Linked DNA regions of Struthio camelus. The protein of the gene in region 1 purifies or fractionates together with the protein of each later gene. This does not show direct contact. Links are inferred from orthologs where the notes say so. Each region holds a gene or a part of one and is shown on either strand. Other genes may lie near its edges. The genes, in order: STRADB and CAB39.

What was found.
Region 2: the proteins of STRADB (region 1) and CAB39 purify together in Homo sapiens (affinity purification with mass spectrometry; 3 studies listed by BioGRID and IntAct, counting the BioPlex papers as one, with this or other methods). This does not show direct contact. The link is inferred for Struthio camelus from reciprocal best matches to the Homo sapiens genes STRADB and CAB39.

What each region holds. Positions count from the first base shown.
Region 1 is NC_090947.1:10,285,918-10,301,246, reverse strand, and holds the start of STRADB (STE20-related kinase adapter protein beta), read left to right. Parts: upstream 1-9,813; 5' UTR 9,814-9,873; exon of another isoform or gene 9,874-9,945; intron 9,946-10,341; exon of another isoform or gene 10,342-10,401; intron 10,402-10,794; exon of another isoform or gene 10,795-11,292; 5' UTR 11,293-11,385; exon of another isoform or gene 11,386-11,393; intron 11,394-12,622; 5' UTR 12,623-12,667; coding exon 12,668-12,679; intron 12,680-12,998; coding exon 12,999-13,079; intron 13,080-13,409; coding exon 13,410-13,509; intron 13,510-14,165; coding exon 14,166-14,287; intron 14,288-14,735; coding exon 14,736-14,844; intron 14,845-15,266; coding exon 15,267-15,329. UniProt on the Homo sapiens protein: Pseudokinase which, in complex with CAB39/MO25 (CAB39/MO25alpha or CAB39L/MO25beta), binds to and activates STK11/LKB1.
Region 2 is NC_090950.1:9,268,008-9,283,315, forward strand, and holds the start of CAB39 (calcium-binding protein 39), read right to left. Parts: upstream 6,012-15,308; 5' UTR 5,550-6,011; coding exon 5,531-5,549; intron 1-5,530. UniProt on the Homo sapiens protein: Component of a complex that binds and activates STK11/LKB1. In the complex, required to stabilize the interaction between CAB39/MO25 (CAB39/MO25alpha or CAB39L/MO25beta) and STK11/LKB1.

The DNA.
Region 1 (15,329 bases):
CACTTCTTTCTTTTATATGTGTTTTATTAACTAGTTTTAATTGTTAACTGTATTAGGCACTTACTAAAAATATTAAGATCAAGATTTCAGAAACATTTACTATTTGCACATATAGCTGTTTCTAAAGAGACTGGTATTTAAATGGATTGCTGAAAAAACACTAAATATGCAGACACATGCACAAAACTTAAAGCCACTCAACACCGCAGAAGAACGGACTTCATGGCCTCTGTCCAACATTTTCTACACCTCGGTCTAGGACTTCACAGTCTTGACACAGTCAAAGTTTTAGATCCTCAATGTTTTCATAGAGGTATTTTACCAAAAAATACAAAGTGGTCTCCTTAGCCTAGACTATAATATTACGCTGTGATGATCATTTTTGTTCGACTGTGCACCTTATCTCAGATTAAGCCTCTGATCTTTGCACACTGTAAAAAGATGCATTAAACTTAAAAACCAGTATGCTTGAAGCGCTTATTTTCTTCAACTGTTTTACAGCGCTTGGCATACTCTTCTTTTTTGGTTGTGGATTTTTAAACGGGACCTTGACTCTTACTGATTCAAGACTACTTATTCCATTTTTATATTGAGATTTGTCCTGCATTCTGCACTTCTGTCAATATCTCAGAAAATATCCTCAAATTCTCTGTCAGCAGCACTTCTCAATATAAAGTACACTTTGGTTACTTCAGGTGAATTATTATCAAATGTATATTTGACTTGAATGGAGAGACAAAACATCTAGCTACTGACTTTCTCCCTGTACCATAAAGAAACCCGAGGCGTTAATTCAGAAACACGCACACAAGTTCAAAAAGCTTGAGAGGTTTCCGATCACCAGTTAGCCTGAAGCAACTAAATACACATGGATTACGCAACGTGCACTACACTTAGGCCTTAAATTACAATCCTAGCGTTAAGCCAGGGCTTCTAAGAATCCCTCCCAAGTAACTTCAGTCCATAAACAGAAGCGTTCTCAAATCCATAAAATTAGTTCTCATCTGTGCAAGCAGCATGGTTGCTCCAAGAGCAGACAGAATCACACAGTAGCTGAGGTTGGAAGGAACCTCCGGAAACCATCTAGTTCAAATCTCTACTTCAAAGCAGGGTCAGCTACAACAGGTTGCTGAGAGCTGTGTTCAGTTGGGTTCTGAAAAATCTCAAAGGCATGGAGCCTCTACAGGCTCTCTGGGCAACCTGTTCCAGCGTTTGACCATCTTCACAGTAAAAGAAATCACATTTAAACAGCATTTCTTACATTTCAGTTTGTGCTCATTGTCTCTTGTCCTGTCATCAGTCACAACAAAGTGTCTGGCTCCATTTTCTTTTTACCCACCTATCAGATGTTTATATACATGGATAAAATCCCCCTGAGCTTTCTCTTCTCCAGACTAAACCATCCCAGTTCTCTCAGCCGCTCCTCATATGTTAGGTGCTCCAGCTTCTTGATCAGCCCTATGGCCCTTTGCTGGACTAGCTCCAGTACGTCCATGACTGTCTTGTACTGGGGAGCCCAGCACTGGACACAGCACTCCAGATATATCTCACCAGTGCTTGAGTAGAAGGGAAGGATCACCTCCCTCAACCTGCTGGCAAGGTTCTGCCTAATACAGCCCAGGAGCCTGCTGGCCTTCCTTAATGCAAGGGTGCATTGCTGGCCCGTGTTCAACTTGGTGTCCACCAGTGCCCCAGGGCCTTTACTGCAAAGCTGCTCTCCAGCCAGTCAGCCCCCAGCCTGTACTGGTGCAGAGGGTTATTTCTCCTCCAGGGCAGGACTCTGCATTTTCCTTTGTTGACCTTCATGAAGTCCCTGTCAGCCCATTTCTCTAGCTCCCTCTGAAAGCCAACACAACCATCTGGTGTTATCAAACGCTCTCTCTAGTTTTATATCATCTCCAGACTTGCTAAGTGTGCGCTCTGTCCCACCATCCAGGTCATTAATGAAATGTTAAGCAGTACTGGACCCAGTATCGAACCCCGGGGCACACCACTAGTGAGACCTCTGGCTTGACTTTGTGCTGCTGATCACAACCCTTCAAGTCTGGTAATTTAGCCAGTTTTCAATCCACTTCCCTGTTCATTTATCTAGCCCATATTTTACTGTTTTTTCTATGAGCATGTTGAGTCACAGTGTTGAAAGCCTCACTAAAGCTGAGATAAACAACATCTACTGCTCTCCCTTCATCCACTGAGCCAGTAGTCTCATCATAGAAGGATAGAAGGCTTGCGAAGCGTGATTTTTCTCTTCATAAATCTGTGCTGACTACTTCCAGTCACTTTCTTGTCCTTTACATGTTTAGAAACGGTTTCAAGAATTATTTGCTCCTTTATCTTTTCCAAGTATCAAGTTGAGGCTGACTGGCCTGTAGTTCCCCAAATCCTCTTTCTTATCCTTCGTGAAGACAGGAGTGACATTTGCTTTTCTTCAGTTCTCATGAACCTTCCCCGGTCACCACGACCTTTCAAAGACTATCAAGAGTGGCCTTGCAAATGACACTGGCCAGCTCCCTCAGCACTCATGAGTGCATCCCATCAGATCCCACGGACTTGGGTGTGTCCGTTTTAAGTGTTCCCTAACCTGATCCTCCTCCACTGAGGGTAAGCCTTCATTGCTCCAGACCTTCCTGCAGGTCTCAGGGACCTAGGATTGCTGAAGGCAATCTTCACTTACCAGTGAAGATCAAGGTAAAGAAGGCATTAAGTACCTTTTCCACATCCTTTGTCACCAGGTCCCCTGCCTCATTCAGCAGCAGGCTCACATTTTCCCTAGTCTGACTCTTGCTGTTGATGTGCCTGTAGAAGCCCTTACTGTTCACATCCCTCACCGGATTCAATTCCAGGTGGGCTTTGGCTTTCTTAACTCTATCCCTGCATGTGTGGACAGTGTCTCTGTAATCCTCCGGCGTCATCTGTCTCTGCTTCCACTTCTCGTATGCGTCCTTTTTATGTTTAGTTTTGTCATGAGCCCCTTTTTCACCCATGGAAGCCTCCTGTCACTCTCACTTGACTTCAAGCTCAAGAATGGTCCAGCCAGATGAGCAGGGAGGAGATGAACCTTGAAAATCAACCAGCTCTCCAGGACCTTTCTTCTCTTCAGGGCCCTATCCCATAGGATTCCTTCAGGCAGATCCCTGAATAGGCCAAAAGCCTGCTCTACTGCAGTCAAGTGTTGTGATTCTGCTATTTGTCTTGTTCCCTCCATTCAGGATCCTGAACTCTTCTATCTCATGGTGGCTGCAGCCAAGGCTGTCCCTGATCTTCACGTTCCCAACCAGTTCTTCCTTGTCTGTAAGAATGAAATAAAGCAGAGCACCTCCCCTCATCAACATTCTCTTGGGCAGGAGAAATTCTAGCCCAATCACTAATCATTGCAAAAAGCTCACAGGATTCATGATTAATTAACAAGCTGTCGGAACAGTTTGATTTTTTTCCTTGCAGTTACTAGATTTTCTGAGGGCAACTTTCAGTAAGCTTGCTTTTTGAATAACTTTTTGACCATCATTTTAAATATAGACCATCGCTAGAATCCACATTAGCTCTATATTTTTCAAGAAGCACTAATAACTTAACTTCAGTGACGTTTTTAGCATGCTAAAGTGTTGACATATAAAAGATTAGTTATTCTAGTTTGTCAGGTCTTTTCCATTCTTATTCTGTCCAAAGAACTGGGGAAGAAACAGCGTATAAGCTTGTTGGAATGTGCGCTTCTTTGCTAAATTGTCATTGGTGTTATAAGAAGGAATCATTGATGACAGCCAGCCATGTTCTTAGAAAGTGCTTCAGGTCTCCATATTCGTCAATCTTTATTTCTGAGTTAAATAAGTGCTTTAAAAAGTAAAAGCCTCAGAGTTGTTCTTACTGTGTTTAGGATGTAAGCCAGGCTTGATACAAGAAAAACTTCCTCACAAGACACAGTATTTTTCTTCTCTGTTTTCCAACAAACATGCTGAAGTTATATCCCCTACCTTGCAAGTCCTTTTGAGGGACTTTAATATGATATTCAAAATTAATAAAAGGAAAAAAAAAACACTCAAGCATGTAATATACAGTTAAGTAGGTAACAAATAATAGCAACAGGAAGAAGCTTGCAAATGGCCTTATTAAACATGCATAAAATGCCAAAATTACAATTTTCTTTGGTTATTTAAGCTTTGATCCAGAGACTGTTCCACTGTTGGATGAACTATGGTTACGATCTCTATCCTTGGTCATAGTCAAATGCTGCCAAGTAAGCAAATTCAAATCGCTTTAAAGGAGAAAAGATTAGATAGTTACAAGGCAATTTAGTATCATAGCGCTTGGGACTACAGCTAGAGCCTGAAGCTGGTAACAGATCTGTTCACAAGGGCAATCCTGCCTAAAAGATGGGATATGTCAGCAGCCTCATGCCTGTTTTTTTGCCTACATCACACAGAACACGTGTAACGTATAGAGTGCAGTTACACAAAGTATTAAAAGCACCACAAACAGCTGGATGGCATCCCAGAAAATAATCACCTCGGGACCGATGAAATCGTTTCTATTTCTAAGCAAAACTCTTCATGTATTACAAGAACTACAGTTCTCCAACAAACAACTGAATCCTACATTCCTTTTTCACGGAAAACTCATGAAAGCCTAACACTGAAAGTTGCGGCCTCTAGGTCTCATAAAGTAAATGCACTGGGCTGTGCCACTTACCGGCGGCAATAGCTGTGCCACATGAGCGGCAAAGCAGTGAGCTTTTGAGAAAAACTTTCAGAGCCAAGAACTTGCATTGCCGTTCTTGATTAATAACTTCAGCCCGTAAATTGAATGAGCGCTCTCTGGACGAAAAGACTGCATTTCTTAATAAACATTCTCTACAAGTCAGGTCTGATAAGTATTCTAGAGACATGCAACTGAAGGAATTTGTAACTAACAAGTGACTTTTTCCTTTGTTTTCTCACAAAACTCAAATCCTTGTCCAATTTCAAAGATGCCATCCAATGCAAGGCGAAATTTTTTTCTTAGTCTGGCAACTTTCCAGCTCTCTAGCAAGGCAGGGAGAAGTCCCAGGAATTTATTTGTAAATTTTGCTACGAGCTGTATTAAATTTAAGAGAACTTCCTTGACTAAATTTATTGCATGCATACAAAACTTATAGCAGATTCACAATTACACATTTTCAGAAGAGGTCTAAAATTAAAGATCAGGAAGTTTTATCCACTAATATAGCAGACTTATATTTCTAAAAATCTTTCAGTGGGGCTTTCCCAACAGACTCCTCAACAGAGACTTTCTCACCGGATAAGTGGAAAGGTTTTTAAACAGTAAGAAACAAGGGGAAAAAAAGTGCTTTCATAGCAGAGAGAAGTATTCAGTGAGGTTTCTTCACAACTGATCCTGTATGACATAAAGTGGAAAAACAACTGGGTCATTTTCATCTCCAGTTTCTGCTGTACACAGTTAAGTTAATACCTATATGCACAAGACACAGCTCAAATAGCAGCGCAAGTGGTTTTTTGTGAAATAAAACAGAATTAGCAATCCATATGCTAAAAGCACGATGTAGGTACATGGTGATGAAACATTAACAGAATTCATAGTTGCACACATCTGAAAATAAGCAAACTACAAGTCATTTAAAGCATGCAGTCTTACTGCAGCATTTTCTAGTCACACTCTCATATTTGCATGTATTTATATTGTGTATTTACAACTACTCTTCCCTGCATTTCAAAGATTTAAGTGTCATGGAGAAATGTGAGATAATAGAACAATACATTTCACAAAAACTATTTCCTAGAAAGTTTTTTTCACTTACAACTACATGACGCTGGCTGATATTATTTCAAAGTCACTATTTTATTTTATGCAATTAGTTTAATCATCTGAAAAAATATTTCCTCTGTAATTCTTAAAAAAAAAAAAAAAACCTCAATAGTCTATACAGGAACCAAATAGCATCAATTAAAAAAAAAAAACACTATGGTAAGTGCTACAGCTATTTTACATGACTAGAAATTTACTATTATGTGAGAAGGATACTTTTAATTTCTGTAGATCCACACAGCCAGGATGGTTTTAATTCAATAATAAAAAGGTAGTCACTGTAAAGTGAGAAAAATTCAGCTGTGCAGGAGAGAGTTTCTTCACAAAAACTCTTGAGTCTTTTCCCTTTATTTTTAATTTATTAAAATGCAAACGTCACTTCCTTTCAGATTTGATTTAATATCTCTTCTAAATAGCTGAAAGCAGAACTACTATTTGTTGTGGGTCAACAGCAGTTCAGTGTGGGAGGGACAAACAAACAAAACCCTCCATCATTTGGCTGGAAGCATTCTAGAGCGCCAGGCCAATATCAAGCTATTGAACTGAAAGGGCGAACTCATTAGCCGAGTCCTTGAGAAACTTGCTAGATGTCAGCATTAGCTTTTATGGTGTTTGCACATTTCCAATACTTCTCATAGCTTTATTCCACTGTGCCCTAGGGCAGCATTTCTGAAAATCAGATAATCAGATAACACACTGTGCAGTACCACCCTGAAGGTGACTCCATATTCCTTTCACTCTGCAGCACTGCAACTATAAAACTACTCCCTCAGTGCAGCTTCCTTCTGCAAGTTACATCTAGCTAAAACCCACAAGATTTACAACATGGCTGTAAAATACATGATCCTGATAAACACAGGAACATATATTTCAGGAATTCAAATAAAGCTGTTATATCACGCAAAAAGACATAGCCAAAGCAAAAGCCATAGACTTTCTCAGGTATTATTTTACTCCTAATTTAGGATCGACAGTCTTCCCTCTGGAAGCACATGACACAAAATACATACGTATATAAAAATTAAACACCTTTTGGAAAAAGCAGACAGTGATTACGGAAAACTGTCACATAATTTAGGTCCACTACTTGTACCATCAAATGAAAAAAATTAAAATATTCAATTTTAAACATGCTTGCTTGCATTGAAACACTGAATTTACACTAGCTCCATTTGACTCTCAGAAACTTAGGAATAAAAATCAAGTGATTAAAAACAGAATATAAAAATACATTTTAAATTATTTTGAGTATGGAAACTAAATGAAAGGCAAAACACCCAAACATAACTAAGATATGTTTTTTTTTTCCATACAGGTTTTCAGTTTTAATAAGCTAAGTTGTTAATTAGAGAAATAACTGCTGAAGGATTGAAAATGCATTTATAAATTGATCCTAACTTTTTACGTTGTCTGTACAAGCAGACAAGGCTGCCTAAAAAGCAAAATTGGATTAGAAATGTTTATTCGATATCTTACGTATTAATAGAGTGCAAAGCACAACACTGAGCTACTGAAAAATAAAAAAGTTTTACATTAACCTACTTTAATTGATTTATGTATTTTTTCCTAGGTTTTCTTCAATTAAAGTTCTAATTTGTCAAGTGGACACTCAAAAGAGCTACTAGCATCAGAGATATTGAAGAAAACACTTCCTTTTCAGTATAGTTTAGTGTCAGAATTAGTTAAACTTGTATTTGAGCAAAGACTAGTATTGGGGGGGGGGGGAGGCTGTTTAAAAAAAAAGGAGAAAAAAATCTCTCAAAAGCAGAAGTATTTGTATATCATATAAAAATAGCTCCATCGTACCTTGTCATTTTCTGGCTAGCAATTAAAGGACAGAAACTTTAAGCATTATGCTATTTTTTTATAGTACCACCTGCCCTTCTGGGAATTTTATTCTTAAAAGAACTTCTTTGACAGATACAGAGTAGCCTCTGGTTCTGCTACTACTTTGCCATGTAAGAGCGGTAACTAAACATTTTCTTATTAGAATTTTATTTTATTAAATATTTTAAATTTTGAATGAAAGGAGCTTCTCTGCTTATTTCATAATCTTTATCATATAACCACACAAAACTGATAATACAGGGGATCAATTTAGTCAGCATACATGAATTCTATATCAAAACATCAGTTTTAAAGTTAGCTGTAAAACCCATGCTAGCTTCCCTTTATAAAGAAGGGAGTAAAGCTTTCAGTCTCATGTTGGAGCATTAACAGAAAAAACAGACATTAGCGACGAAATAAAAGACAATAGCACTTGTATGTTTTTCCTTACTTTGCTGTAAAAAAAAGATGGCCCTAAAACTTCTTTTCTCCTCATTCCCGCTTTCACAGTCTCATGCTCCTTTTTTAACCATGGAACAATAAGTAACGCCAAGGACTGGTATCCTAAGCTCTGTCACCAACAGCAGAACAGAAGAGTGCTACTACAGTGCACAGACAGGAACTGCTGTCTTATGACTTAAATATTTCATGTTATTTTTAAAGCTATAAAGCTTCAATTCCACAAATGGACTCTCTTTTTTTAATTGTTTGAAAAATTCAGTTCAATAGCTGAAGTTCATTGTTTTGTTTCCCAAGCATTTTAATAGTTACAATTATGTATTCACTAAAATAAACCAGACTGATCTATATGACCCAGTCACAAGAGTGCTGCCATTAATCTAACTAGATAAAAGCATCTGTCATCTCTTTGTAACCATCTCTGTGAAAATGCTATTTTGCATCTTCCTGTAAAACTTCTCAATGAATCACTGGTCTGTTCTTCCTGCAAAGACAGCCTTTCTGCTATGCAATACTCACCCCAACAAGCCTCTGTTATAGTAAGAGCAAACCACCATCAAAAAATTCTGATACACGCTGTACTCCTTAAAGCAACGTAGAAAACTGAGAAAACAGACCAGAATTTAAAGTATATTTAGTCTACCTGACAAGCGTTACTTATTAGCTGGTGTATTTCCCTTCTCCTCCTGATTCCCGATTCCTCCAAAAGAGTTCTCTTTCAAACAGGTGAGTTGATGTTTGCTGTACCAGTATCTGTACCTTCACAGTCTGCACATCTAACTGGGCAATATTAGGTGTGGATGGTAATTGGAAGGGATGGAAAAAAAACAAACAGGTTGTCCTTTAGGCAGTGGAACTAATGAGGCCTGGGTTTCCACAGATGTGTTCTACTTTTTTCATTCCTCCTTTCTCCATCGCAATAAACCCAACTCTAGGTATGCTACAACTTGCGGTGGAACCTGAGTATGAAATAAGAAAGGAAAGGATTGGTCCCTTTCATCTAAGGATGTCAACATTTACTCTGTTAATTTTGTTCAAACCTCACCACAGCTTGGCTGGCATACACGTGAACTACAAATTAACTCCTTCAACAATATATTTTGCACTAACTTAGCTTAAAAAAAAAAAGTACAAGATAATAAAAGATTAACTTCAATACTTTCTATATAATGTTGTTAGCTAACATGCTTAAGCAACCATAAGACAATTAGCTAGTGGTGCCTCTAGTGACTGGTTACCATTGCACAAAGGACTCCTGAGATGTCTGCCTATTTCTGCTCAGAAATGCACCTCTTGGTCTCAAGAAAAGACTGCAAAGCAACATAGTCAATTTTAGGTTAACTTTCAGACGCTTTTCACATAACACAACCATATTATTTACTAGCACATTAAATATTTGTATCATACTGTCACAGTCAGTCAACAATAATTTTGAGGCGTAACCAAAAAGCATGTATTCAACAGTCTATAGTTGAAGATTGTTTAAAAAGGGGGGAGGAGGGAGGCCAGGAATGCAACTTTGTGAAGCACTTTGTCACTAGTACGGTTGACAGGAAAAAAACGTTTACTGACAGATACTCTTACTAAAGTTTAACCAGAAGATTAAAATGCAATTGTAATCGAAAGGTTAATGAGGCCTAAATCTCCTGCCCTCACATCCTCGAGCGAGCAGAACCACAGCTCAGATTTCATCGAGCTTTGCTTTATAAGAGCAAAGACACCAACCTCCAAGCAGAGCAGTCCGATTAGCGGTACCCCTAGCGCATGGAGGAGCTCGACAGCACGCTGAAGGTCGTGACATCCGTCATGCAGCAGTAACCGATATTTGCAGCACGAGTCTAGCGAACCGCGCAAGCCCGCGGCGCCCCGGCAGCCACGCCGGGCACAGCGGGCGCGCGGGGGCCACCCAGGTGCTCGGGGCCCCCGAGGCCGGCGCGGCGGTCCAGGCAACGCCCCTAACGGCTAGGGGCAACGCGGGCCTGCCGGGGCTTGCGCAACCGGGCGGCGAGGAGGGGACTCGCCGTAGCGACGGGGCCGCCCCGAACGGGCGCCGAGCCCCTCTTACCCGCCCCGCGCTTGCCCTTGCCCCGGCGCTCCCCGCCGCCGCCGCGTGCAATACCGCGGCCGCCGAGGAAAGGCCCACTGACTTCCGCCCGGTTCCCGCCGCGGCGGGACTACAGCTCCCGGCAGGCCGCGCGGCGGGGCGGCACCGCCGCCGCCACGAACTACAAGCCCCGTGACGCGCCGGGGCCGGGGCCAGGAGCGAGGCGGGGCTCGCGGCTCGGCTGCGCGGCGCCGGCCCCTGGCCTCGGGCGGCGGGTAGGAGCGGCGGCCGCCGGCGCCGCCTTCCCGCGGGGCTGCCCGGCCGCGGCGGGGGCAGCCGGGCCGGGCGGGTCGGGGAGGGCGGGAGGAGCGGCGCCGCCGCTGCACGCAGGCACGCCGAGCTCGGGGCAGCGGCGCCAGGCCGTCGGGCAGCCCGGGGCCGGGGGAGGGGGGGCAGCCGTGTACGAGCGAAGGGAGCGAGCGGGAAGCTGTCCCCTGAGGGGCTCCCGGGGCGCTGCCTTTCCGTATACCGTACTTCTGCCGCAGGCGCAGTCATTTAAAACTCGAGGTCTGTCATAAAGAACCGTTTCAGTCACTCAAAACGCGAAAGTAACTCAGTGAGCTACAGCCCAGGGTTAACAAAACTAGATTAAGGCGCAGTCAGGGTACCTGGGCTTTGGCTGTGGAGCTTCGGCCGTCCCTGAGGTTCACAGACACGTTTGTCTGTTGATCGATGAACTTCCTTCCCACATCGCCCACCGACTCTGAAGCTTTGGGCATGTTGGGATGAATGTGTCCGATCAGCTGTATGCTGCTATCGCAATCTGCAGTATACAGGAAGGCTGTGATACAAAAAAGAAAAACGTGGAAAGGTGGAACAGGTTTATGTAGTGATGTGATCCAAACCATACAAGAAAATGGAGGCAAAGTTAGATTATGAAACAAAAAAAAGTCTTAAGTCTTACTAGTGTTATGTGAACAAACGTGGATCATGGACAGCTATGTTGGCTAGCTATACCCTTTTATAGCTTTTAACTAGTTCGCCAATAACTTCGCTTCAGTGTATCCTAGTTACTAGGACTTGAATCAGCTTAGCTTTTGTGGTTTCATATTCCAAGCAACAGAGTAACTTACCTCGTATAATAGAATAAGCCATTTTCTTTCCAGCTTGGAGGAGGATGCTCTAGCAGTGACTGTGCTGGACCATGTCTTGGAACATCGGCGGTGTCTCCAGCTCTGCCACTTCCTTTGTGAAAGTGGGTAAGTCAAGCCCAGATCTTTTGAAGAAGTTAGGCAGCAAAATATCACCTACGGATCTTTTTAGCTCTCTTTTCATCTATAAGACACAGTTACAGCATTTCCTTACTTCAAGTAGCTGTTGAGGGTAAAGAGGATTAGGAGATGCCCGTTAAGGTATTTTAGCAATAGACGGGTGGTGGGAGCTTGTTAGATTTTTCAAGAGCGTTGCCAGGATTAAATGGCATCCGTAATTTGAATGGTGCATGTAGTCAAGTTTAGTGCCTTGATAATCAAAATCATCAGTTACTCGTATAGTACTTCACCTTTTTAAAATTAACTTTCAAACAATAACTACATATTAAAATGGAACTACCTCCTGTAGCTTTGTCAGCCACCAAGAAGGATTATTCATGGCAGAGAAGATGCACACTTGCAGATCAGTGAGTAGCTAAAGGAAATTAGCTAATCCCACTCTGCCCTTCAGAAGCTTTGATACGCTTGTTAGACATTGTCATCTTCCTCTCTCCTCATCTCCTAAATTTTCAAAGCGTTAGATAGAAAACAAGTCTGCTGGAAGACTTTGAGTGGCTAGGCTGATGTGCGAGGGAGTTTGGGCTGAATGCCGATTCTGTAACCTAAGTAATGAGAAAGCGATCCGAGTTGGTTCCTCTCCTTTTTAACTCCTGTTCTTCATGGTAGTACTTTCTTCTCTTGCTTGTGACATACACAGTGCAGTTGCTTCTGGCTTGCTTTTTTCATGAGCTAGTTCGGCTGCAACAGCTGAGCTGAAATCTGACTAGTACAGCTGTGCTCCTTCAAAGCAATAGCTGATTTTTCTTTTCTATAAACTGCCAGTGATCCATGAATCTGTTTCCTTTTATTTTGTGCACTTATGCAGTTGACTTGCAATTCAATTGCTTGTTCAGGAAAGTTTAGAAGATATCCAAACCCATTAAACAAAAAGGAAAACAGTAGTTGGAATGTACATTGCATATTCTCAGTGTGGCATTTGAAATCCATGTGCTGCCTAAAGACTCAGTACAACTAAGTAGGCCTCCCCGGTTTTGTAGAAATTCTTTGGAATTTTTGGAATTTTTTTGTATGTGATATAAATTTTAGTAAGAAGAGGTATTTTGATAACTGAGAGGAACACCTCACAATTTTGATTAAAAAGAGACAGACATTTATGCTCAGGATTTCTCAGTGCTGGGCCACAGGTTGATGTAAAATCTTACAGTGATACTTTACATTTTTCTAGGATAAATGGATGTATATGACTTTTCCCCTGCTCTAAAGAGGTTCCATGTCGTGTTTGGTAAGTTTATTTTTAAAAAGCATCGATAGTTGCACCTTGTTATCCAGTTATAACTCAATGTGAAAAAGTTCTAGTGAAATGTCTTGCTGTACAGTTGAAACACTTCACTTGAAGGATTTCCACAGTGATGAGATACTTAAACTTTGTAATACCAGCTTTTGCTTATGGAGGATATTTAGTTTCTCTTCTCTCTAGGTCTTACCTCTTGCCTGACTTTCTGAACTACTGCTCATAAGGGCGTTATTTCTGATGTTCTCACATGATCACATTTAATAAGTTATAGCAAGTCTACTAACATTCACTTGTTTCTGTTTTCAAGGACTGTTCCTGTATTCTACGTACACGAGTTGAATCAATCAGACCAGAAAAGCAATCTCAGAGCAGCATCCATGAATATCTGGTAAGAAGAAAATAAAAATGTTAACTGGCAAAGTTATACATATTAAAATTACTACATACCAACAATAATCTCACTAAGTCAGGTACTTTTTCAAATATTAACTTAGAAAAATAACCAGAGTCCTTTTTGGGGCTTCCACTTTGGAAGAAGACTACAGGTAATAACTAACTAAAATAGCTCATGTAACTAAATCTCAGGATAGTGGTAAAAGCATCAGCTTGAGTGTTGTGACTTCAGTACTCGATCTTTGCATTTTCATTAATGCTGTTTCTCTGTTAAACGTGCAAGTGTACATAGTAATTTTGAGAACTGTTTTTTCCTCACTTGTAGGCTGATTCTGATCTAGCCTGGATTCCCCCAGCTACAGGAGAGAATGAAATGATGTTTTGCTCTTCCAATGTCTCTCACTATGAACTCCAGGTGGAAATAGGTAAGCTAATTGTACCATAAAATACTACTTGTTCTTGCAGATGTGTTCTCTTGGGGCATTGCTTACTTCAGTGAATACTTAGTAAGGCTGGCAAACCTATCGGCCGAATAGAACCATTCTTGGGTCTCTTTAGTTAAGGATGAGAGAGGTTCTGTGCTTTTTTCCAGTTATCACTTATTTTAAAAATATAAAATCAGTTATCTGAATTTTTCTCTTGATGTGAGCATATGTGTGCACAGCTCAGTTCTCTACGCTTGTGGTTATACGGGCAGTAGATAACACATTAGGTAACACTGTCTTGTCACTTGGCTGCCTAAGATGATTGTCCTAAAATAGCTGCCCTCAATCTTACTGTGCCTATATCTGTTTATGTGAATGTGCGTGCTAGAAGCATTGTTCATTTACATGTGGAAGATATGTAATTGATGCTGAAAAAACGTTTAAATGCTTTTAGTTGCTCTAAAAATAGAAAGAGCCATGTTTTAACTAATTTGATGCATGTATTTTGCTGCAACTACTTAAGTTATTGACATGCCTAAAGAAAAAGACATGCTGCTATATCAGAATTTTAAAATGATCTCTAAATATGAAGCAAGTTATGGGTGCATTATTATATTTTTGCCAATGTTAACCAAGGTAGCCACTTCTGGTTTCAGGAAGGAGATTCAACAACTTAACTTCAGTCTACCTTGCACGGCATACACCTACAGGGATGCAAGTTGCTGTAAGGATCACAGACCTAGAAAGTTGCTCTGAAGAGCATTTGAAAGCTTTGCAGGTAAAGCAACAGCACTGCTGCACTAGTCTGATGAAGGCCCCAATGAATATATATAAGGTTACTAAACAGAGGTAGCCCTCCTATATGAAATAGGTCATTTAAGTTTTTCCTTTAAAAGAGTACAAAGCACGGTAAATATGAAACAGAACTACTTTCCGAATAAAACAGTTAACAAGTGTTTTAAAAAGACTTCTGTAATTGTACCAAGTGTTTTCCTTGAAATACGTTCTGTATTCTGCATTTACATCACAACCTCAAACTACATTTATTTCAGACAAATGCAATCATAGGCAGGGTATTTGCCTATTTTTTTGCACGCTGTGCACATCAGCTGCAACATTAGCATAAATGCACACAGGGAACAATTCTTTCTACTAACTGATGTAATTAATGTTCTTAGCAACAGTTGTCTTCTGGTTAACATAACCACTTTTATTTAATTCCTTAGAACGAGGTGATTTTATCCCACTTTTTCCAGCATCCCAACATAATGACACTTTGGACAGTGTTTACAGCTGGTAATTGGCTTTGGGTCATCTCTCCGTTCATGGCATATGGTAAGAACTGTTAAGTGCCATTTTCAAATAAGAGAAAGGGCCATAAGAGATTTTTCTTTTAAGCATCTTTTGTCCCAAACTAAAGAAGTCTTCCATACATGTTCTTCCTCCCCAGTGACGTTTGGCATTCAAACTGCATTAGCTTGCACTTCAAGTCCTGACATCCACTATCTGAGGAACGTTAGCTGGGGAATGCATTTGACTTGATGCACTTTTGAATTTTGTCAACAGAAAACCTGTCTGGATTGAGTACAGGTTCAATTAACAGAAACCTGACTTGAGTGTGATCTTTGCCTGGTGCAAGCTGCTTCCATATAAGCGTTCTTCATGTACCATAGTCAATACAGAAGTGAGAATACTGCTCTTTGTGAATGCAATGAATACTTGTTTGCTTAGCTAGGTTATCTTCTCTTCTCTTTCAGGTTCTGCTAGACACCTGCTGAAAACTTACTTCCCTGAAGGAATGAGTGAAGCTTTGATAGGCA
Region 2 (15,308 bases), on another chromosome or scaffold:
GGTGAAATACGTAGTAACCCAGGTAGTAACCTGGCTAGCTGGTTAGTCAGGCTTGCAGAGGGAGAAGAGTGCGAGGAGGACAGAGAGACTTCTACTCCGGTGCCCTAGCACACCAGGAAACCAGACAGAGATATCTCCTCACCTTATCAGAAATAACATGGCTTTTCAGCAGAAAGCAATAATCGCCTAACTCATGCAACCTTCGCAGAAGTGCACGCGTGGGCTGCCGCTGCTCTTCGAACGCATCCCCCTGATCCTAGCCTGTTTCTCATTTGCTCTGCTAAATCATAAAACGCAGCATTAGCCATTGCGTTCCTCTCTCAGCCGACGGAGGTGACTAAATTAGGAAAGTGGCCCCGCTGTGAAGGCAACGGCCCATGTTCCAGCAGCGCTGCCGGTGCTGGGTGCTTAAAGAGAGGGAAACACGCTCACGCCCACATCTGGCCAGAGAACCTGAGCCTACCATCTCCAGCTTAGCTGGGGCGGTTTTCAAGGGGACAAACACACAGCTTGCCTGGAAAACAAGCTATTTATTTTTAGCATGCTGTGACCCAAAGTTGCTATCCGCTCCACGTGGGAAAGGAGGGAGACGTGCAGGCAAGCCTGTCCAGGGTGAGGGATCCTGCCTGCAGCTGTAACTTGGGCTGGCACCACGCCCACCTGCCTTGCTCCAGCACTGCCCTGCTGCTGTGGTGGTGCTCCCATGGTGGAGACCACAGTGGAGGTGCTCCCACAGCGGGGGCCATGGTGGAGGTGCTCCAGTGGTGGAGACCACAGTGGAGGTGCTCCCACAGCGGGGGCCATGGTGGAGGTGCTCCAGTGGTGGAGACCACAGTGGAGGTGCTCCCACAGCAGGGGCCATGGTGGAGGTGCTCCAGTGGTGGAGACCACAGTGGAGGTGCTCCCACAGCGGGGGCCATGGTGGAGGTGCTCCAGTGGTGGAGACCACAGTGGAGGTGCTCCCACAGCGGGGGCCATGGTGGAGGTGCTCCAGTGGTGGAGACCACAGTGGAGGTGCTCCCACAGCGGGGGCCATGGTGGAGGTGCTCCAGTGGTGGAGACCACAGTGGAGGTGCTCCCACAGCAGGGGCCATGGTGGAGGTGCTCCCATGCTGGAGACCACAGTGGAGGTGCTCCCACAGCAGGGGCCATGGTGGAGGTGCTCCCATGCTGGAGACCACAGTGGAGGTGCTCCCACAGCAGGGGCCATGGTGGAGGTGCTCCAGTGGTGGAGGCGGTCCACTGAGGAGCAAAGGAGCTCTGCAAAGGAGAGAGCGGGATCGCACGGGCTGCCTCTTAGCACCACGCAGCCCCAGGACCCGCACGCCTTCCAGAGACCTCTGCACGGCCCGGCCCCCACGGCTCTGGGGAGCACAACCAGGGCAGCCCTTGGGCACTGTTTTGGGAGAACTTCTGCAGTATCGCTCCCCTGGGCTGGAATACCTCTGTCCAACTATGTCTTGGTCACTATCTTCTTTAACTTAATTCTGCTGAAGGGAGTTTATATCCTTGACCCTGCCAGAAAACTTTTTTCTGTGTCTCTAGCCTTGGGCTTCGGCTGTATTCAGACTTTGGGTCCTGATGCAGTATTGTATATTGCGCTTGGACTTTAGACGACTCCTTTCATTGGACTGCTGATGAATTACAGTCCTGAGGTTTTCTGCTAGTTCTGCTCATGATGTGGAACAGGTTCAGGCTACTTCTGTGCCCCGGCAGGTAACAGCAATATATTATCCTCACTGTGCCAAATGCAGATTAGCCTGAGTTGAAAAAATATATATACCCAAACATATACATATATATATATATGTGTCAAGTTGCTGCTGTCCAATAATACAGTATAATACACAACATGATTTTAAAGAAGGATATATTTTTATGGAACAAGTCATTAATTTCTTACAAGCTTTGTTCTGAGAGGAAAACTTGCACCTGCGTGTCTGATATATTCGTGCTGCACAGCAATTTGGGACTTACTGGCCTGGTTTTTAGAAAAGTCCTTAAGCTCCTCACGCTCTGCTGCACTGCACATCTTCAGCTGACAGTTTCTATCTTTGGTTTCTTTTTAATTACCTCTGCCGTGTTACATATCTCCACATTACTTCCCTCTACTTTGCTTGTCACACCGGGGGAAATTTTTCTGCTGTGGGTCTTAGTGCCCTTATTTTCTCGATAGCAGGATGCTCCTGTTCTGGATTTCTCCTGTTGCGGTTTGCCTTTTCTGCCATAAAGGAAGAAAGCCGTGTTGGGAAGGCAGTGCTGCCTCTTGGTGTCCTACACGTGCCTCAGGTGGTGGCTGAGCTGGAGGCGCCAGTCCTCTTCCTCCGCCCGTCGCTGAGCGTGCACGGAAAGGCTCGCGCTGAGCCTGCCAGGTGGAAAGCTCGCGCTCGCCCACGGGGCCGCGCGGAGGAGGGCCCCGTCAGACGCGTACGGGCTGAAGCGGCTATGAAGAAACGGGACGTTTCATTTTCTTTTTCCCCCACTTCACATGGTTCCCCGCTCCGCGCTGGGCACCCTGCAGTGGCAGAGCCCAGCTGGAGGAAGGCAGGTTTGGAGGCTGATTTTGCTCCTCGTCCAGCTGGAGCAGGACAACTGGAAAGCTCTTCGTGAAAGAGGTGGAAACGGGAGGGTTTGGTCCATTGACAACTCTCGTCTATGGAGGAAGGATTTACTCTAGTCACCGTGAGATGACTGGGCAGGGAATTCCCCTAGCACCACCTGAACGAGTGCAATGGGATTTCCACATGCTGCTGGACCTGTACACTCCCCTTGAGGACCGGAGAGTCATCCTCCACACACTGCTCTTCCCAGATACCTGGCAGACCTGCCCTTCCCCTAATTAGAAAGTTTATCAAAAAAAAAAAAAACCCACGAAGGTAAGCAAAAATACACTCTCCATACCCAAACAACAAATACGCTCGCTGGCTCTCTCACCACACGGCTCCCGGGAGCTCGGCAAAGCCTGGCAGCTCGGCAGAGCCTGGTCAGCATACCCCAGCGCCCACGGGTTGCATTTGCAGCTCTACCTGCTGCCCATTCTGGGCTACCTGTAGCTTTTAGCTGCCTGACCACAACCTCCAGCGTTTCACAGCCTGGCTCCTCACCCCCTTCCCGGGCCCTTCAACAGCACTGCTTGCAGCTCCCAGCTCTCTCCTCCAGGTTCAGCCCTGGGCTTTAGTACTAGTGACAAGGGAAACCATAAACCTTCTTCACAACATAAGCCTGTCATTAAACAAAGAAAAAGCAGAATACTCATGTGGGCTGAAGGGGGAAAACCTGATGATACAGTTGTTCCCCCCTCTCTGAGCAGCAACCGTGGTGTTTCTGGGTAAACAGGCTGACTAAGACAAAATGAAGTTGCTGGTGCTGTCTCTGATGCGGACAGATATTCCGAGACCTATGAAACACCTGGCAAACAGACCTCCTGAGTGTGTTTCACCGCCCTCGTGAACCAGCCTGCCCCGTGAGCCGCATGTTACAGCTCACTTTCAGAAAAATGCTTCTGACCACACTTGAAACCATCCCTACCTGCAATAGCATTTAAGTGCATAGGAGCTTTGTGTTCAGCTGAATAGTTGGGGCCTCTGCCGAAGCGCCGTTGTAGCGGGGATGCTCTCCTGCGTTGCAAAGTCAGGGTCCAGCCTTGCACTGTGGGGTTACTCCCATGTGTCCTGCAGCTGCTCAACACCTCGTGACCAGGACATCAGAGGCAAGCAAGCGCAGATGGGATAGGCAGGGAAATGAAATGGGAAGGTGGGGCCGAAAAAAAAAATCTACTTATGGTGCTGGTTCATCTCAGATGGACCCTGCGGTTCTGAACGTGCAGCAGGAGGGGGGACGCGCTGCCCGTGCAGGGTGGCACAGCCGTTGGGTACCATCTGCCAAGCTTGTCTGGGCCCACAGCACGCGGCCAGGTAATGCTGGCAGTTTGTATATCCCACTTACGAGCTGGAAATCATTGTTTTCAAAGCCAACATCAAAAGGCTGAGCATGTCTGAGTTCAAATTGTTACCCTGTAATTATGTTAAAAGCATTCAAGTTTAAACAGATAATATTCAGGGTGCTGAACAGAGCAAGTCATTAGAGGCAAGCACTAGTACAGTGATGCAACACCAGAGCCTGGAAAACAGACACTACTGCTTTACAAATGACCACTGGAAAAGAAACCATGCAAGTAACCTGTTCTGCATAATCACCACGAGCATGTAGTATACTTCGGGGAAATCCATCAGCAGAGCGAGCATAATTTTTCTAGGCTCTACGAAGCAGATATTAAATTCAACGTGTGAGAGACCGCCTAGCACAATAGCAGTTCACTAATTCACAGCCACGACTGAGACATCCACCGTGAATTACTTAATTCTTACAAATTAGGACATGAATAAACATGATTAAAAAAAAATCTAAGAAACTTTGCTGGAAAAAAAAGCAGTTACAAAGGCAAGTACGTAGATGCTCTGCTCAGCAGGAGCAGACGGCTGAACGTGATCTTAAGGCTTTTTGCTGCAGGTCCAAGGTCCGAGAGCCCTGCTACTCAGCTCCAGCTCGTCTGGCCATGACCCTGCACCAAAAAACAGTGGAAGTGGGGGAAAAAATTACTCCATCTTGTGAAATGGTGCAAATTAATTCTCTTTCCAGCACCTCTGCTTTGCTGACCTCATTTCTTCCTCTGACTGTGCCTTAAGCAGAGCCCCTGAGCTCCTCCTGGGGTGACTGACCCCACACAGCCCCAGTGATCTCCTCGGGGCCAGCCTTCCTCAAGGCTCGCCGCTGCTACCAGCAAACGAAGGCACGTACCCTGCAGAAAGCACCACCGGCTGGTAGGACGCAGCCAAAATGCCGATTGGGCCGACACGTCCTTGGAAGAGCATCATGCTTGCAGGATGCTATTCAGCTAGGGTCGGTTTCTTTAAGAGATCAGTACGGTTGCCTCTAAAACACGATCTTACAGTAACGCAGCCAGCAAAAGTGGCCTGAGGCAACCTATAAGGCAGAAGCTAAAGCTTAATTTACTTTTCTCTATTAGAGGGGGGAAAAAAAAAAAGAAAAAGGAAGAGCGGGTGCCAGGGCCACGACCAGCGCCCATCGCGCTGGGGTTTCCTGCAGGGCCGCGCACCACCAGTCACGCAGTTGTTTCTATTTCCCTCCCACCAAATATGGAGCGGAGCTGACATGCTAGTCACATGCATTTTAGCACAATGATGTAACGGCATCCAACCTCCTTCGCCTGTCTCTGATTAAAGACAAAAAGCAAGAGTCTCGGACCTATTTGGAGAAGGAGGCGGAGGCCTCCCGTCACAGTCCCCACTGCTTCAGCCCTTGCAGCCTGCCACACGCTCTGCAAGTTATTGCTTAGAGCGTGGAAACGCCCCAGCAAAGGTAAACGTCACCCCCCAGAAAGCGGCACGCAGAGGTTTACTGGCGCTGCTGTAAGCAAGCACTCACCGATACCAGCCCAGCTCGCACCGAGGAGCCCAGACCGGAGCAGGAAGGTAGGAAAGAAGCACAGGGACAGAAGTAAGACGCTTACCGTAGCGTGCCACAATCATCCACGCGACAGCGCAGAGGTGTCCCCGCTGCCTGACTACGCGGCCATCTCAACAGTCAGCTGAGCTAACGCCACAGACCATTTAAAACAATAAACTAGGTCTTCCTTCCAGCTCGCCTCGACAAACATACAAAGGATGAATAAGGCAAACCAACCCCCAGCGCTCTGCTTCAGTTCAAGAAGGCTTGGCCGCGGGCATGCCTTGATATGATTCAGAGACCAAAACCCAGGCTAGTGCTCCCTGACAAGCGCTTCAGGAAAGGAGAGGGAGAAAATACTAGCGCTAGGAACCGCTCCGGCTGTGCTAAATACCTTCTACTGAACGTTTGGAAGAGCAAGAGTCCTGAGCCTTTCCGTGGGCTTCTGACCAAGCCAGGCTGAAGTGGCTAAATTTAGTCACCCAGGTTTCGCAAGTGCTTGTGACTTTGCCCGAAACCGTGCTGCACCTCTGCTAGGCTTTGCACGTTCAGTCCAACCTCTAGAAACTTTTCTCAAAGACACACCCGTCGGTGAGCATTTTGTTGACTTTCCGTTCATTCGACTAATACACGGTGAACAGACTGACCCCCGCCAAAACTTATCCGCAGTAGAACAGCCCAAGTGAATCTAGTGGTCACCCGTATCAGGAAAATTTTTCTCTCAGGGATGCTATGATTTATCCTCGGCTCAAGCTGTCGTTCCCGAATTAAAGCACATTGAAAAAATATTATTGCAAACCACAAGAATTAAAAGTAGCATGTAAAGATTGTCAGTAAAACAGCGAGCAAAATAATCAGAGGAAAAAAATCTGTTGTAGACTCATTTCCTGGACAGCAACAAGATGAATGTGTCATTCTACAGAACCACGTAACTTTAATACACTCTTTATTTCTGTGGCACAATTGAGAATTATCTATACAAATGCAGCATCCTTTCCAGTGAGAATCTACTACGCTAAAACCAAAAAAAGATTTCCATCAGCTTGGTAAACTTGATAAAAAGGAAATAACGCAACCCTCTCTGAAAAACAGCGCCCTGGAAGAATGCATTTCCTGGGTAACAAAAGACCAAAAAAAACCCATAGTCAAATAGATGACTAACTCGACAAAACTGCAAGCAAATACATCGGTGCATCTGAAACTCTGCAGGAAAGAAACGGGTTCCAGCTTCAGTTTTCCTACTTTTAATAAGACGCGTGTGGGCTGCAATGCCTGAAGGGCGCTACGCTGGCCAGGTCAGGCCCGCGGGCCCCTCCGCTGGCCACCGACGCGGCGAGGGGGGCACAGCGACCCGCTGCCCTCCCCGCTGCGCCCAGCGTTTCACTGGAGGAGCACTCGCTCCCCTCGGGGATTCAGCGCGCCCGAAGGGCCGTAACCCCCCGAGCCGCTCACCCAGGTCAACGAAATCCACCCCTGAGCCGCCCCGGTGAAACTTTACCTCCTGCTCTTTAAGGCAGACCTGCTTTTCCAACTTTTATTTTTCTCTCAGCACTTATGTTCTCCCACTTTTAATAATTTTCTATTTTAAATAGATAAAAGACGAAGACAATTCCTGCGCAGGTTTATGTCAGAGCACAGGAAGCAAAGAGTTAAGACCTCGGGACGCTGACTTGTTTTAGTGACTCTTCCTCAAGGTCAGTGCCACCAAACCGACCCTTTTTGTCAGCCGTGCTGATGTAGAAAAGCTCATTCAGAAAGCCAAGCCGAGCAAAGAAGCAATGTTTTACCAGCACTAGAAATACGTGTGCTGTCATCTGCTTTCACGTTGCCCGAGTAGGAACGGAGAATGAAAAGGGGGGGGAGGGAAAACCCAAAGGATGAATCAACACGTGGAGAGGACAGATGAGCTGGGAGCATCTCCAGCTGCAGCGAGCGCATCCCAGCAGGATCCAGGTCTCCATCCCCACAGACGCCTGGCCTTCGGGTCCAGGTCCCCATCCCCATCCTGGCCTTCAGGTCCCCGCCGCCCTCGGGCTGCGATTCACCGCTGGGTCCTCCTCTCGGCTCGCTGTGACGAAGGCCTGATTTGGAAAAACAGCGTTGGACTTTGCTCCCCGAAGGACTCCGAGCGAACGCCGCCTTCGCCGCGGCCCCTGCGGAGCGGGAGCAGGAGCATGTCGGGTGCCCTTGCCAGGTTGGCTCCGCTCACGCCGTGGCAGCGGCGGCCGCGGGCACCGAGCGAGAGCCCGGGGACCTGACCCGCAGCAGCCAGTGAAACTGTACCAACCTCCACCTTTTCCTTCCCTGCCCCTTCAGGCTGAACGTTTGAAGGCAGAGACGGTATTAACCTTCTCCTTGCTCGTTTTCTTTGTTCTTTTCACTCCCTCGCTCCATTTTAGAGGAGATATGAGTGGAGTTTACTAAGGTTCATATTTAAATAGCTCCCATTAAGCTCTGAAGCCCACACCCTCTGGGGTAATGCTGTAAGCACTTCCTTAGCGCTTTACACCTTCAAAGGACTTGCAGAAACTAATTAATTAGCTCTCCCAGCAAAAAAACCTGCTACCATGACTGGCACGAGATTAGGGCTGTGGGGTTTGCTGCTCTGCGGGATTTGGTCTGCTTTGGGGCTGAGCTGACAGGGAAGCTGCTGCACTTCAGCTGGAAGCCGAGATCTGTGCTGTGGCCCTCCAGCAAACGCGCGTGGACAACTTCCACGAGCCTCTCGCAAGCTTCTCTGCGCTCTTCCTCCTCCTCCTCCTCTCCCGAGCAAACGCTGCCTGCCAAAGGAGGGAGGCGCGCTGCGTTCCTACCTTTTCCCACCTTCACGTTCAGGCGCTTGAGTGGGCAGCCCTGATTTTGGGAAGTGCTGAGCCCCCTGTTCCCCCAGCTCAGCGTGATTCAGCTGGGTACCTCTGAGAAGGAGCTCATGTACGTAGGTGGCTAACTCAGATCTAAGGCTAAATTTATATCTCTGAAAAAAATCTTAAATAGGCAGGTGTGTGAGAGAGTAGTTCCCTGTATGTGTGTACAGCCACCCACACAAACCAGGGAAAGGGAAGACACAGAAACAGACCACCACCTTCAAAACACAAAAAACACCCTTCCAATCAGCCGCTTGGATAGTTCCCATGTTTCTCTTGTTTCTTAAAGGAACAAACCAAGGGCAGAACACCTAACAGTAAAAATAAACAAGAAAGTAAAATTGTGACGATGGGTTTGTTTGTTTTTTTTTTTCCAAAAACCACCTCATTTTTACATGCCTCATGATGGAGAGGCTGAAAGTGGTGCAAGCTCTGTTTTCCCCCTTCACAGACTGGCTCTTGAAGCATCACACAGCTTTCCGCAGCAGCCCAACAGCTCTGTCTTCTCCCTGCTTCCTCACCCCAGGAGGGTCTGTCTTCTTCCATCTAGTGTCACAAGAGCTGGCAGGGTGCCCGAGACCCTCGGGTTTCCCCAGAGTGATAAGAAATCCTCATCCCTATAAAAAGACAGTCTCCTAGATAATATTTGGAAAAGAAAAAAAAAAATTAAAGAAATTAAAGACGGGAGAGATAAGGCTAAAACCAAACAGTGTTTCTAAAATACAATGTTTATAAAACAACGGTATAAGAATTGTCCTTGCTTTTTGCTTTAATAGATATTTTAAAAAAAAGAGAGATAGAGAAATTACTTTAAAGAGCAGGATGTGATTTTATGCACAATCCAGGCTGGATGTGGCTTGCAAAGTCCGAAGATCCTGCGGCTCGTGCCCTCCCATCCTAATCGCCTGTGTACTCTGCTGTCCCCAGAAGCCAGCTGAGCTGCACCAAGAGCGAAGTGACAAGTGTGTTAAAAAATGAACCAAGTGTTTCATCACTTCTTCCGGATGCTGCAATTTCAGCCTCTGCAGAACCAAAAACAAGTAGCATATTAGAATCACTGTTTATAAGCACATTGCCTTCCTGGCCATCTTTTTGCACCCTGCGAGAGAAGCCTGCCTGCACAAGGCCGGGGACAATGCATTGGCACGAACGTTGCAAGTTCCTCTTCCTGCAAAGAATTAACGATGACCAGCCTCGTTGCTTCATTCATGCTGACAACATATTTTGTGTCAAGGGGTCAGGACGTGGCGTCAGCACATGTATACACACGTACTATAAAAAGAAAGCTGCTGTTGGCACGTGGCCGAGTCAGGATGAAAGCTGAGTTTACTCATAGTCACTGAAGAGATATTTGTCTCACAAAGGTGAAACTTACCCCAGCTCCTTCTGAGCAATGGAGAAGCCAAGAAGGAACAGGCGGTACGGGATGTGCAAAGGCTGCATATGGGGTGCTGTTCTCCCGTTTCACCAGGGTTTGGGGAGGCAGGCACAGATGCAGAAGTTGCTGTGAAAGCGAAGCTTACTGAATAAACTATTTGCTGCATTATAGATGAGGCATGTTATCAGGTGACACCTGGTAACATTACACACACACAGAGTGTGACAAAGCCCAGAGCTGCCCTCTTGAAAGAAACAAATCCTGGGACGCCCATCGAGGAAAGCTCAGGAACTGCTCAGAGCACTCCCTCAAAAGCTCGCTTTTTTTCTTCATCAAGCTTTGCTCACTTCCTCCTTCACCATCGCTCCAGCACAGACAAGAAGTTAAAGCTTTGCCAGCATGTCACCACCCACACAGCTTATCAGATTTTTTTCTTCCTATAGCTCACTCTTGGCCTGAGATCCCATGTTGCAACCAGCAGCTTTCTGGCTGAGAAGTAGATAAGACTTCCTCCAGGGCCCAGGAGCTAACTGCTAACTGGCTAGACAGGTGACACGTTGAGCAATGGCAGGAACATCAGCGGATCCTTAACACAAAGGCTAGAGGGGTGCAGGTGAAAGAAAAGTTGAAAACTACTCAGCTAGTACCGTACTGATAATTATTTCCTATACCAAGAGCCCACTCATGAAGCTGCTACAACCAACTCATGCTGAGGAACTAAAGCAAGCACTAGCACGTTTTGGAGTACTCCTTTGGAAAGGAGCTGGATTCAGAGATGTCATTAGTCCATTACCTCCAGGGAATGGCATTTCCAGGAGATGTCCAATACCACTTGTGATCAAAGTGCTACATGTAGCATCATCCTATGCCACGGATGTCCTCTTTCTCCATATGCAAATGTCATTTGAGTAGCTGAGCTTCCAGCTGTGCTCCTGCCCCTATCTATACCATGGAAACTGGGCAAGACATTGCTCTGAGATGCGACCCCTCGAGCATGGACAGCAAAGATGGTTGTGAGGACATGAACTCTCAGTCTTCATTGGATGTGACAACAAGGCTTAGGAGAACGTGTAAGCAAGGTCACTTCCAAAACAGAGGCCAGAAAGACAACGAGGATACCAAGCAGGGCAATCTGCCTGGGAGCCCTTCTTTTCATAGCCTATTTCCCAGTTGTCTTTCCTTCAGTCTCAACAGCACCATAGCACGTGGTCTGCTGTTCAGTCTGTCCCAGGTCTGTTGGAGGCAGACATGAGCTCATCCAAATTCTTTCCCCCCAGCCAAAAATATGACTGCACAGAAGGAAGGACAGCTAAGGAAAGGCAAGGTAGTGGTTTTGTGATAACAGAGGGGGCAGCATTCAGCTCCTGGATTCCTTCCTCCTCTTTCTCTCCACACAACTCTCTCCTAGCCACTTACCTTCACAAAACCTTCTCACCTCCCACCCATGTGCCAAAATCGGTGACCTGGTACACATGGTGTCACCCCACATCTGTCTAGGTCAGCTCCAAGTCAGCCCAGGACCGTAGGAGGAGGTGGAGTCTTGTGGAGGAACATTTTTTGGAGTAAACATGCAGGCACATGAACATGCCGATAACTAGCCAGGCACCCGCAAGGCACGAGCCAGCAGACACCGTTAACCCCTCGTGGTCTGACCTGCTCTGTCACACTATTTTGTTTACAACGGACTTTTAAGTCTATCTTCAGGGGACGTAAAGCCTCTCTTGAAGCAAAGACGGCACTTGACTGCATGGTGAAGGCAGGGCGCCCTGTGGGGCTTCCCAGCAGAGACAAGTCTGCTGGCACAGCACCTCACAGAGAAGCTCCTGGCAGGGCTGGCACCCCAGTTCACCTGCTGTGGCTCCCCTCCGCTTCCCTAAACGAGGCCCGTCTCTGCTATCCAGTCACGTGCATCAACGCCACGTCCCCCCACAAGGCCGGCGCACGGAGGGGTGCCCCCGCCACCGGCCTCTCCCCAGCAAGCCATCGTCTGCAGGCAGCGAGCCTCTCTGCTGCCCCCAGCACGCACGTCACGGGGGCTCTGACGCCTCAGCGGGCAGGACCGGCCCTGCTCCGTCCACCCTGCGGCGTTCGGGGCCATGCTGGGGGCCTGGGCTGGCTCAGGGGCCCGGCTCAGCCGCTGGGTGCTCAGAAGCGCGCTTAAGCAATGGGCAGTATTTGCCAGCTCACTTTGGCAGCCGCAGGAGATGGAGAGCAGGCCTCAGGTCTGCACATAGCGCCCCGGCCTCTGCCCCGAAACTCTCGCGAGAGCAGGAACCTTTCCCTCTGCTTTGGGAAAGCTGCCTGCCACTGAAGCCACAAAACGCCTGCCACGCTTGGCACGGCACAGGTAGGCGGCAGCCCGCCAGCCGTGCAAGCCACCGCCGGCAGGGCTTCCAGTGCGCTTCCCCACATCCTCCTCGCAGCGCCCAGCTGCTGGTCTGCGGAGGTGCAGGCCTCCAGGCACCTCAGATCGCCTTCCCCTCGCAGGCCTTCTCCTGTTTGTCTCCTTCAGGCAGATTACCCTCTCCAGCCCAGTCCCACCCAAAGGGCTCAGTCCACAAAACCAGCAGCGACAACCGTTGACCTCATTCAGGGACTTGCCCAAGGTGACTCCGATGGTGCTGCCAGATCCCCTGCCCAGCACTCCTTTGCCCAGTCTTGGCTGGTGCCTCCTGCCCCTGGGCTGTGCTCTCAGGTGGCTGTCATTACAAAATGAAATGGCTGCAGATGCTCTCCTGCACACCTCAAGCACAGAGAAATTATCCCAATCTGCCCAGTTACCCCAGCGTGGCCAGGGTGCGGGACGCATGATCCTTGGGAGGACCCTGCCGCACCAATTTGAGAGGTGATACTGTGGATACAACTTACTGAACGGAGGTCAATCAGGAAACGTAACCCTGTTCCCCTCTGGGACGATCTGGCAGTGAGTAATCACCAAGCAGCACCAGTTTACATACCTCTGCCCTGGGAGTCATCCTACCTGCCCAGACACTGACTGTACCCCTCCCGAGCCGGCAGGTCCAGTCACCTCACTGGCATCTACCGCTCTCCTTCACATCCTTCTTCCACTGCAACACTTTGAAGGTAAACCACCCCTCGGGCGACACCGGACTTCAGTACGGACTGCTTGTGATTTACAGCCATTGGAAAACCGACAGGTTTAAACCTTTTAATAAAGGGATTTAACCCTCATTTTTAAACCTCAGCTTTGAACCAGAACTAAACGTCTGAACCCCTCCCCGGACTAAAAACCTTTTAGTTATTTTGGCAACCTCTTTAAATAAAGAGCCTCTGCCTGATGTTCGCTTGCTTACAGCAACACAAAACTGGAGCCTACCCACCAGGGAGGGAACGCAGGGTCCAGAAGGTGCTCTGAGGTGCACGTCACAGCTAACTCGTTCTCCATGCCCCAAACAGCAGCTACCCCAGCCATGGCCTCCAAGCTGCCAGCCCTCCAATCCCGCAGCTAATGCTTCTTTCCTGGGGCAGAACCCGCACTTTGCTTCTCACTTCACAAATATCTGCATCATCGCATGCTCTGAGAACAGAAGCAGTTTAATGAAAGCAGACCCAATAAAAATCAAACAGAAGCAGCAACCTCGCCCATCGCTGCCCCATCCGCCTGCCTGACAGCCTGCCCACCAGCACCTCCTGCGGGCCAGGGACTCGCGCGCGCTCGCTCCTGCCAACAGCGAGCTCTCTTCCATCGCTTTATCATCTGCTTGTGAGGGGAGAGGGCACTTTACCTAGCGCAGATATGCACCCAACGGCAGCATAGCAAGGAGCCAAAATTTCTTCCTTCAGAGTCAGGTAACATCCTCAGGATGTTGGGTCCCACCGCACAGGCACGCCTTCAAAGGGAGGACGCCGGGTACGTGCCCAGCTGCTGGCCACCACGGAGCTCACGGCCTGCAGCACCAGCTCATTCCATCACTCTTAAATCCGCTGCAAAGCAACCCTTTCACTCTTGTGTGAGCCCAACGACCAAGAAGCCACGCTGGCGGGCTGCGCTCAGGCACATTTAACAATTCTGATTTACGGGTGTGTTTACTGCCTTGGCAGATTTTATGCTCTAAAACAGAATAAGCCTTGTGCCGTGCAGATGTAACTCACCACCTGCGCCTCCCCGTCAGCCTGCCACAGTTTAACTCTTCACTGCTTTGCACAAGGCAGCCCTGTTTCTAGCCTACTAGTGAATTTACATCAGGAGGCTGAAACACCTACTAAAATAGCCTGGATTTGATCTCTCCTTCCTAAAAGGTAAATCCAGCAGGGAATTCCAGAGCAGCCACCTGGGAACAGGCCAGAAGGAACTAATAAGAACGATCAAAGACCTGTAAAACACGTGGTCTGCACAGAAAGATGGGGAAAATATGGCTGTTCAATCTGGAAAGGAAGTGGGGACACTTGATAACAGTTTTCAAATATTTTAGAGGCTGGTGCAAAGAAGTATCTTTTTCACATCCATGACAGACAGGGCAAGAAATAACAGACCTATATCAGCACAGGTTGAGGTTATGCCAATCTCTCTCCTCTGTAGCAAATACACAGCACAAATATAGACCCCAAAAGACAGAATGGGAGCCCATCAAGCATCACTTTCTCTTTCTCTAGTCTCCTAGGGACTAAATATGTTTGAGAAATGAGAGAAAACCAAATCACTTAATTTTGGAGTAATCACAGTAATGTTAAGTACTTGACAACTTTCACACCTGAGAGCACCAAGGAAGAGAAGTTGAGGGTAACACTTTCAAACAAGGGTATCTAAAGCCAGGCCCCTACACTCTTAGCCTAAACTGCAGACCGAATGAGATACGATTGACGTTTAGCACCTCCAGAGAGGAGGTCTTTGGACGAAGCAATGTGTCCAACAGCACAGACAGTGGAGGCCAGGATTAGGAGTCAGTCCTCCCTGTACTGCAGGCTGGGAACGTATCCTTCCTCAGCCGCAGACAAACTCAGCTCCTTCCACTCTGCAAATGCTCCGCTGGGCCACTGGTTCCCCCAAACCGGACTGCACAAGTGCCACCAGCACTCTGCGAGCCTGCTCCTGGCTTCAGTCTTCACTGATCGCTTTTGCATCCAGTCCTTTTCAGACATCAGAGGTGTCCCACGTCAGTGCCGATTGCTGCTGGGCATCTGCCTGACGCAGCTTGGCCAACACAGGAGCTGCAGGAATTGAACAGAAACCAGCCCCATACAACACCAAGAAAAGCTGCTACTAGGTACAAAAAAAAGTCAGAGTAAAGTACTGGATACAGGTGCTCCGTGGCCTCTGCTCAACTCTACGCCTTAAAGGTCATCTCAAAACGAGCCAGAAAAGGTTGATTACTGAGACTACTGCAAACTTCAGCCACCTGGACTCTAATATATGCAGCTACTTGACACATGAGAGCAACTCTTGCTTTTTCTCCCGCTCCTCCAGCTCGCCCAAGGCCTAAGCCTAACACTCCCATGTCTGCCTTTCAGCAAGAACTTGCTTGTACCTGAACAGAACCTGCAAAAACACTTCCAGAAGCAGCTCCACAGGGAGCAAGGTGTGAGCACGGGGCAGCGACTGCGCAGGAGGAGCCGTGGTGGGTCCATAGGCGACCTGCAGG